Linked DNA regions of Canis lupus familiaris. The protein of the gene in region 2 purifies or fractionates together with the protein of the main gene of each other region. This does not show direct contact. Links are inferred from orthologs where the notes say so. Each region holds a gene or a part of one and is shown on either strand. Other genes may lie near its edges. The genes, in order: FAM167A and CDC42BPB.

The links.
Region 1: the proteins of CDC42BPB (region 2) and FAM167A purify together in Homo sapiens (co-immunoprecipitation; 3 studies listed by BioGRID and IntAct, counting the BioPlex papers as one, with this or other methods). This does not show direct contact. The link is inferred for Canis lupus familiaris from reciprocal best matches to the Homo sapiens genes CDC42BPB and FAM167A.

The regions. Positions count from the first base shown.
Region 1 is NC_049246.1:26,612,615-26,616,421, reverse strand, and holds part of FAM167A (protein FAM167A), read right to left. Parts: intron 1,917-3,807; 5' UTR 1,487-1,916; coding exon 1,118-1,486; intron 1-1,117.
Region 2 is NC_049229.1:71,230,180-71,233,986, reverse strand, and holds part of CDC42BPB (serine/threonine-protein kinase MRCK beta), read left to right. Parts: intron 1-941; coding exon 942-1,047; intron 1,048-1,979; coding exon 1,980-2,116; intron 2,117-2,334; coding exon 2,335-2,474; intron 2,475-3,645; coding exon 3,646-3,727; intron 3,728-3,807. UniProt on the Homo sapiens protein: Serine/threonine-protein kinase which is an important downstream effector of CDC42 and plays a role in the regulation of cytoskeleton reorganization and cell migration. Regulates actin cytoskeletal reorganization via phosphorylation of PPP1R12C and MYL9/MLC2.

The DNA.
Region 1 (3,807 bases), on a different chromosome or scaffold from region 2:
CAGACACCTGAGTCCCTGAGCCTCCCCTCCTGCCCCAATTACTTATTTCAACCCGTGAGGAATTCTAGGCCCCAAAGGGGATTTATATTTCGTGATTTTGCAGAACAAACCAGGGAGGCCTCTGCCTACCCTGTTGACACAGCAGTTATGAGTGGCTCTCCAAGGCAGCTGGCTGTTGGTGCTGGCTCACCTGTGTCCAGAGTGGCCTGACAGGGCAGGTGTTACCTGGGCCACAGGTAAGGAGGAGGGACAGGAGTCGAGGTCATGGGGAGCATTAGCACCGTGCCTGGCTTTGCCGAGGGGCCACGATACCCAGGACCAGTGATTCTCCCCTGGGCAATGGGCACAAAACTCTGAACACCTATTCTCTTTCCCACCTGCTGAGAGATGCCACTGATGGGAGCCTGCTGTGCCCGTGGGCGGAGGAAAGCTGCTGCCCTCCCCCTCCCCAAGCATACCTGTTACTCATGCTCATTCCCCCAGATGCCCCTCCAGGTGCTGACTTCTGGGCAGACTCTCACTCAACCTCCAAGACCCAGCCCAAAGCTCTCAGGCCCCATCAACCGCGCCGCCCTCACAGCAGCTCCTTACACACAGCTCAGTATGAAGGGAGCACTGTGGGCTGACCTTGAGCCACGTAGAGCAACCTCCAGCCACACAGCTCTGGGCCTGCACAGCCCCATCTGTACTTACCCCCCACAGCCCCAGGGTTCCAGCACAGCGCCCCCTCCCCACTCCCGTGGAGCAGAGTAGCTTGCTGAGGAGGGCTCCTAGCAGGTGGGATGGACAGTGAGAACATTTTGGAGGGGAGGGACATCACACTCCAGGAACATCCTTCACATTTCGGGAATAAACCTATGAGACTCTGTGCAAGGAGGGCGTTGGGGAAGGTCGGGGCACACAGGCTTCCTCCTCCTCCTGTGACTAGGGGCTGATTGGCATGTGGACCTCACGTAACCGCACAGTAATGAGGTCTACCCTTGCTTTAATGGGGGAAATGACAGATGCCCAATTGGGAGGGATAGAGGTTGGGGGAGAGGCGGAGAGATAAAGAGAGACAGACAGAGGAGAGAGAGAGATGCCTTTTCTGGGGATTCTTGGAGGGGCAGCCACTTACCAGTTCCTTCCTGAGCCAGGCTATAGCTTCGTCAATACTTTCAAAGCCTTCCAGCTTGCCGGTGGGCTGGGGCCCAGCATCCTGGCTGGCACGCCTGTTAGGTGGGGGATGCTGCTTGGACCCCCTCCTTGGGGATGAGGGCTCCTCCTGCCCACACTCCCCCTGCTCAGCAGCTGGCCTCGGGAAGGGCCATGTCTGCTCTTCCAGCCTGGCTTGCCATTCCAAGTAGGAAGGCCTCCGGGTCTCCAGCCTCAGTTTCTCGGTGAGGGCCTTCAGGCTCCGCAGGTGGTCATCGGGAGGCAGGGCTGCTCCTGCTGGCTCTTCTTCCCCACCAACCACTTCTTCTACTTGGATCTGAGGCACAGACATCCTAGAGTCTGCTGGGGCGGCCAGGCATGGGAGGTGGTGGGGGGCGGTGTGGGAATCTTGGTGGGTGGCAAGATTGGTTCCCCCTCAGGAGTGATCTCATCCAGCTGGGTTCAAGGCTGCTGAGGGCATCGCTGGGATGTGAGGAGCTCCCTGGAGCTGACAGGGACCAGGATGTGGACGAGCCACACAGTGTGCCCTCCGGAGCAGTGGTGGAGGTTCAGTGTTTAAGATTCTTCCCGGAGTCCTGTGGGTGCCATGCTTCACAAAAGGCAGGAACAGACAAGTGTCAGCAGGAATTTTGGGGGGGGCAGATTTGCCAAGATCAGTCCTGGAGGTGCAGGCAGATCAGAGAGAGGCAGGGAAGCAGGACTGAGCTCCCTCATGGGCAAGGGCAGGCGGTGAGAAGCTGCCTGCCGGCTGGTAGGAGGCCCTGCAGGAAGGATGCAAATGATGTCAGTACTAATCCCGCCCCTGGCAGACCTGCCACATTCCTGAGCTCCTTAGGAGGGGAAACTGAGGCTCAGAGAGGTCAGGTGACAGGGCTGCGGATAGTTCACTCAGGACTAGAAGTGAGGCAATTTCAAGGCTTAACCCAATGCAGAGAAGTCAAGAATAAATCAGGGCTCTCTACAGGGTTTCACCACTTTTGAAATGATTCCACCTCCATTATCACATTCAATCCTCATGGCAAGTCTGTAGTTACTTCTCCGAGTTCCCATTTTGCATGGGAGGAACCTGAGGCTCTTAGAGGTTGAATGACTCACCAGAGAGCTCTTGGCCATTAGCAAGGACAAGTCTGGGTTGTCTGATTCTGAAGGATCAGGTCTCTCCTCCGAGCGACAGCTACCTGAGGGTCCCCAGGCAGACACTGTTGTGCCATGGGTCTCAGGTCAGGGACCGCTGACCCCACCCAGCACAGCCCCCCCACCCTTCTTCAGGCACTGGCTCTTCCAGGTCTTACTGCGCACTCTCAGCTGCTTCTTCCAAGAACAACACCTTACCTCACGCTTCCGAGGAGGAAGCAAATAAACCTGCAACGGCTGAGGGAAGAGCCGACCTCACTCAAGGAGGATTGTTAAACCAAGCGAGGTTTGTGACTCACCATTCTAGAAAGATGGGTCGCACATTTACCTAAAATGCCTGCACCGCAGCGCCTCGTGGACAAGGGCTGTGGCTTTCTGATGTGACTTGGCCTTCCCACCTCTGGGGAGGGGGTCTGAGGGCAGGTAGAGAAATCACTCCGAGTCCCAGGCCAAGTCCAAGTGAAGCTCCAGCCTCCCAGCCCCATCCCTGTGCCCACAGAGTCCAGGCAGGTGGAGATGGAGATGGGTACATCAGAGTTGGGGATGTTTGACTTGGACCAAGGAGAGAAGTCCTTGGTTCTCAGCCGGCTCTTGAAAAAAAATGTGTGCTGAGGGCATGCTGAAAAAGCATGAATTCATACGGAAAGATGTCCAAGATAAAGCTTAGGTGAGAAAACCCAAAACATTCATAGTCTGGAGAGTACACTGTTGGTGTGGAAGAGGAGAAGGGGAAGATTTTTATTGATTTCTATATACCTAAAATGATCTCTGCAAAGAGAAAAACGAAAACTAAGAGTCCTGATGACTTGTTTGGGTGACAGGAACTGGGCATGGGTGTTGGTGGGCAGGCATATGAAGAGGCAGAGAATGCGGGGAGTGGGGAGCAAAATAAAAACAGAGACTTGGCCCCCTGGGGAGGCTCTGGGGCTTCTCTCCCACCGAGCAGTGGAGATATTCAAGAAGAGCAGGACTTTCTGTCTTTCTGGACTGTTTCTACAATCCCCGCCTGCAACACGATCTGACCAGAGGAAGTCTGGCCATCCTCCCCATGCTCTGAGCCTGGCCCATTTGAGGGCATCCCTGAGGAATGAGGAGGAATAGTCTACCCCAACTAATAGAGAAACCTACTGTTCACCTCTAGCCACCCAGATGGGAATCCCCAGAGGAACCTTCACAAAAATAGATTCCCAGGCTCCATTCCCAAGGGGTTCTGATTCAAGCAACTTGGGATGGGACGTTAAGGCTCCGCAGGTGATGTGAGGAAACAGCCAGGGCTGAGAACCACTGGTTCTGAGCTAGAACACTAGACTAGAGATCAGATGGCGTAGGTGCAGGGCCTGTCAGGCTTGCTGAGCCTCAGTTTCCTTGCCTATAAAATGGGGGTGATCATACCAATCTCCTAGGTTTGGGAGGATTGGCAAACTAAGGTTTGTATCCACTTTCTGCAGGTTTAGCAAGCTCTGCAAACGTGGGGGTGTTCTCGCAAGGGGCTTTCAATGCACTCTCAAGGTTACACAG
Region 2 (3,807 bases):
CAGCTGACTTCCACTTGTCTGTCTGCACTTAGAATGGTAGAGAAGCATATGGTTCATGGGAGGGTGTTATTCCCCAGAGTAAGTGGAACTGCACCCAGCAGCGTGCAGTTGTGTAACTCATCTTTCCCACGAGTGTGTCTGGAGAGCCGAGTGCTAGCCCCACAGTTCTAGTGATGAGGAGGCCCAAAGTTTCAAGCTTAGAAGGCATTTGGCTTGATGCACTTAGATGCTTCATTTTCCTTTAACAAGGCATGGCCTCAGCCATAGACAGTGGCCTAGCTAGAGACAAGACACTTGACGTTGTTAGGCTTTGGGCTTGGATTCTTGCAGAGTAGACGGCCCTCTGGATTTTGTGTTGCTTTTTACAAATAGTCCTGTAGTATCTGTATCCCTGAGTAATAATCCTTCCTTTTGCTATGTCAGAGCTTTATACACTCCGTGTCCTGCATCTCCAGCCTGCTCCTCTCTTCAGCCTCACGTTTCGTTTCCTTGTTGATCGTGTTGTGATACTTCTGCCCTTCCAACAAGGGGCAGAGAGGCCCTTCCACTTAGGAACAGGGCTGCAGTTCATTTCTTGTGTGTCTCTTGGTCTCACATGCAAGTGCGGCTCTGGGTGCCAGCCTACCCCAAAATGAGGGCCCAGGCCAGTGCCCAGGAGCCTCCAGGAGGCACAGTTCCCCTGCCCAGCCCTCCTTGCTGTTTTTGGTAGCATGACCACTCACCAGAGAAAACATGTTGATTGATTTTCTGGCTCAAGCTCGATAGGTGGGTGTTAAGCTCTACTCTTTGGTTAACACCAGGAAGGAGCATATACACCTTAGAGTGAAATTGCGCATTTGCAGCTTCTCAAGGTCATGCCCAAGTTTATAAACTTGATCACGAGCAGATTGATCGTCTCTGCCCAGAGCCTGGATCTCACCTTCTTGGTTTTCCTCCTCCAGCCGAAAGCTCACCAGTTCAGCATCAAATCCTTCTCCAGCCCCACACAGTGTAGCCACTGCACGTCCCTGATGGTGGGGCTGATCCGGCAGGGCTACGCCTGCGAGGGTGAGTGTTAGCCGCATGCCATCTCAAGGGGAGCATTATTCCAAAGTCAGATGAGGCTGAAGCAGGAAGCCTAATGGTGAGCTAGCCGAGGGCAGGTTCTCTGTCTTTAGTTTTATAAACGCTCCGTAGAGGTTTAGAGGTTAGGGAGACACGGTCCAGAATCCTTGCCGCAGCGGGAGAGCCCAGTGCGGGGGGGCGGCCCAGGCTATCTGTGGGTTGTTGTTACTATAGAATGAAACACCCCCAGTTCTTCTGTAAAATCGGGAAGAGCAGAGAGTAAATAGAACTTTATGCTCTTCCACTGTTACATTATTTGAGGGTGAGCACCAGAATTTTGTCTCCTCATGTCATTGTTGGCCTCGTAACCACCTCTATGCTGTGCTGCTGCCCTGTGCTGGGTGCTGCACTCACATGGGCCACCGTGACCACCTCGGTGTGATGTGATTATCCACCTCACCAGTGAGCAGCCAGCTGAATTCACACACAATGACAAGTGACAGCCACTAGTCACGGGAAATTGCTCTGCAAAAGCAGCTTTGCGTGTTTCTATCTGGTAGAACCCTTTTTCCTTGTTTGCTGGCAGGCCTTCCAAGCGTCTGCTAGGACCCCCTGTATGTCTGCCCTGTTACACGCCTGCAGGTGGTTTGCTCTGCAGGCAATTTGGGGACTTAGCTATGGGGAGTGAGGCACGGCTCCTGGGGGAGCAGCAGCTCTGAGGCCACACCCCCAGTAAGGCCCCCACAGACAGGCTCCAGAGCAACTCGGTGCCAGAGTCCCAGGGCTTTGTGGGAACTGTTCCAGAAACAGGATGTTGGGACCATTCCCATGACACGTGGGCATGACCGAGAGGCCTCCTCTGTGGTAAACGCTCTCTGGCGGCTTCTGCTCTGGAGGAAGCAGGTTCTGATTATGGTGCTTCTTCACTTTCCCAGTGTGCTCATTTGCTTGCCATGTGTCCTGCAAAGAGAGTGCTCCCCAGGTGTGCCCCATCCCTCCTGAGCAGTCCAAGCGGCCGCTCGGTGTCGACGTGCAGAGAGGCATAGGAACAGCCTACAAGGGCTATGTCAAGGTAGGATGTGTAAAGATCTGGGTGGGGACAGACACTTTTGCCTCAGTTCTGCTCTCCCTGTCTCGGGACTGATAACCTACAGTCACTCCACACTGTTCTTGACAGTGACCTTTGTGGCTTTGTGAAGTTTGTGCTGGTCCCAGGAGCCTCCCCTCCTGGGCAGTAAGGCCGCGGCTGGCCTTTCTGGCCCAGTGGAACGTGGTCACTGTTAACTGTAGGTCCCAAAGCCTACTGGGGTGAAGAAAGGATGGCAGCGGGCTTACGCGGTGGTCTGTGACTGCAAGCTCTTTCTGTACGACCTGCCTGAAGGAAAATCCACCCAGCCTGGTGTCGTCGCCAGCCAGGTCCTGGACCTCAGGTCTGTCCTGTGTGTTCTGTCCTGTTCTGTGAGTTCTGAGTGACTTCTCTTTAGCCAAAATGTGAGTTTGTTGCTGGGTAATCCTTAACCTCATTTATACCTTCACTTCCTTAGTCAACAGAGTTTTAAAAACAGATGCTTGATGTGTGCACTAGAAACTTCCCTGCGTGGGTATTTTTGCACTCAGCAATTTGGCACAGGCATTTTAAGATGATTGCCTGCCCCAAGAACAGGTAGGAGATATCCCAGAAACACACTGCCAAGCCCAAGGAGTCAGCACCTGAACGTCCTGTGTGAAACAGAAATCTAGAGCCCTGGGCTTTGCCGCATGATGCCCTCCCTCACCACTTCACCTGTCATCACGTGCCTTCGCAGTATCCGACATATGGAGATGGCACAGTGTCTTCCCTCCCTCCTGGCTACCCTATGGTTAGCGTCCAGCTCTGTGTTTTCCCGTTGGTAAAATGGGCATGATTTCGTCATTAGGTCGGAGGTTAGTTGTGAAGATCAAAGCAGTTAATAGAAGGCACACGCTGAGCACAGGGCCTGATGTCCTGTCTGCCCATTGGCACCTGCCCCGGGCTAAGGACAGCAGGCTGCAGCGGGTGCTCCTGATGATGGTGTCAGGGACAGACATGTAGCTGAGTCACCTGCACTTCCAGATCCCTCAGGTGATCCCTCTTATTGGTCACTGGGCACAGGTGGGCCCTGGCCTGGTAGCAAAGAGCCCCCCAGCAGGCTGCCCTGGGGTGTGGTGTCAGGTGGAGCTCAGGATTCAGGGTGTCAGATATGGGCCTTGCACAGCTGTTTGCCCAGGTTGTGTCCCCTTCTTTAGAAGCCATTAACAAGCAGCCACTTGATCGTAGCCAAATATGGGCCTAATCAGCAATATGTTCGTAGCTGGAAGCGTCTGGCACGGGCCAGAATAGTGTGGCTCAGGGAAGAGGCTTTTGCTCTCACATCCCTCATCACTACACCTGCAGGGTCGAGTCTGTTGGCTTTGTCAGCATAAGGCACTCTTATCCAGGGGGAGGCTAGGGGCCTATCTTATATTCTGGAACGTAGAGCCGTGAAAGTGTCCTTTCTCATGAGATCCATAACACAGAGGGGTGGGGGACAGGCCTGTGTGCACATTCCTTTCTGATGTTCCAGGTGTTCTGTTTCTTACCAGAGACGAGGAGTTCTCGGTGAGCTCGGTCCTGGCCTCAGACGTCATACATGCTTCACGCCGAGATATCCCGTGTATATTCAGGGTATGCTTTTTTTGTTTCTTAGAGAGGTTTTGTTAATCCTAAAAAAGAAATCTCATGGTTAGAATAGAGCAGTTCTTTGG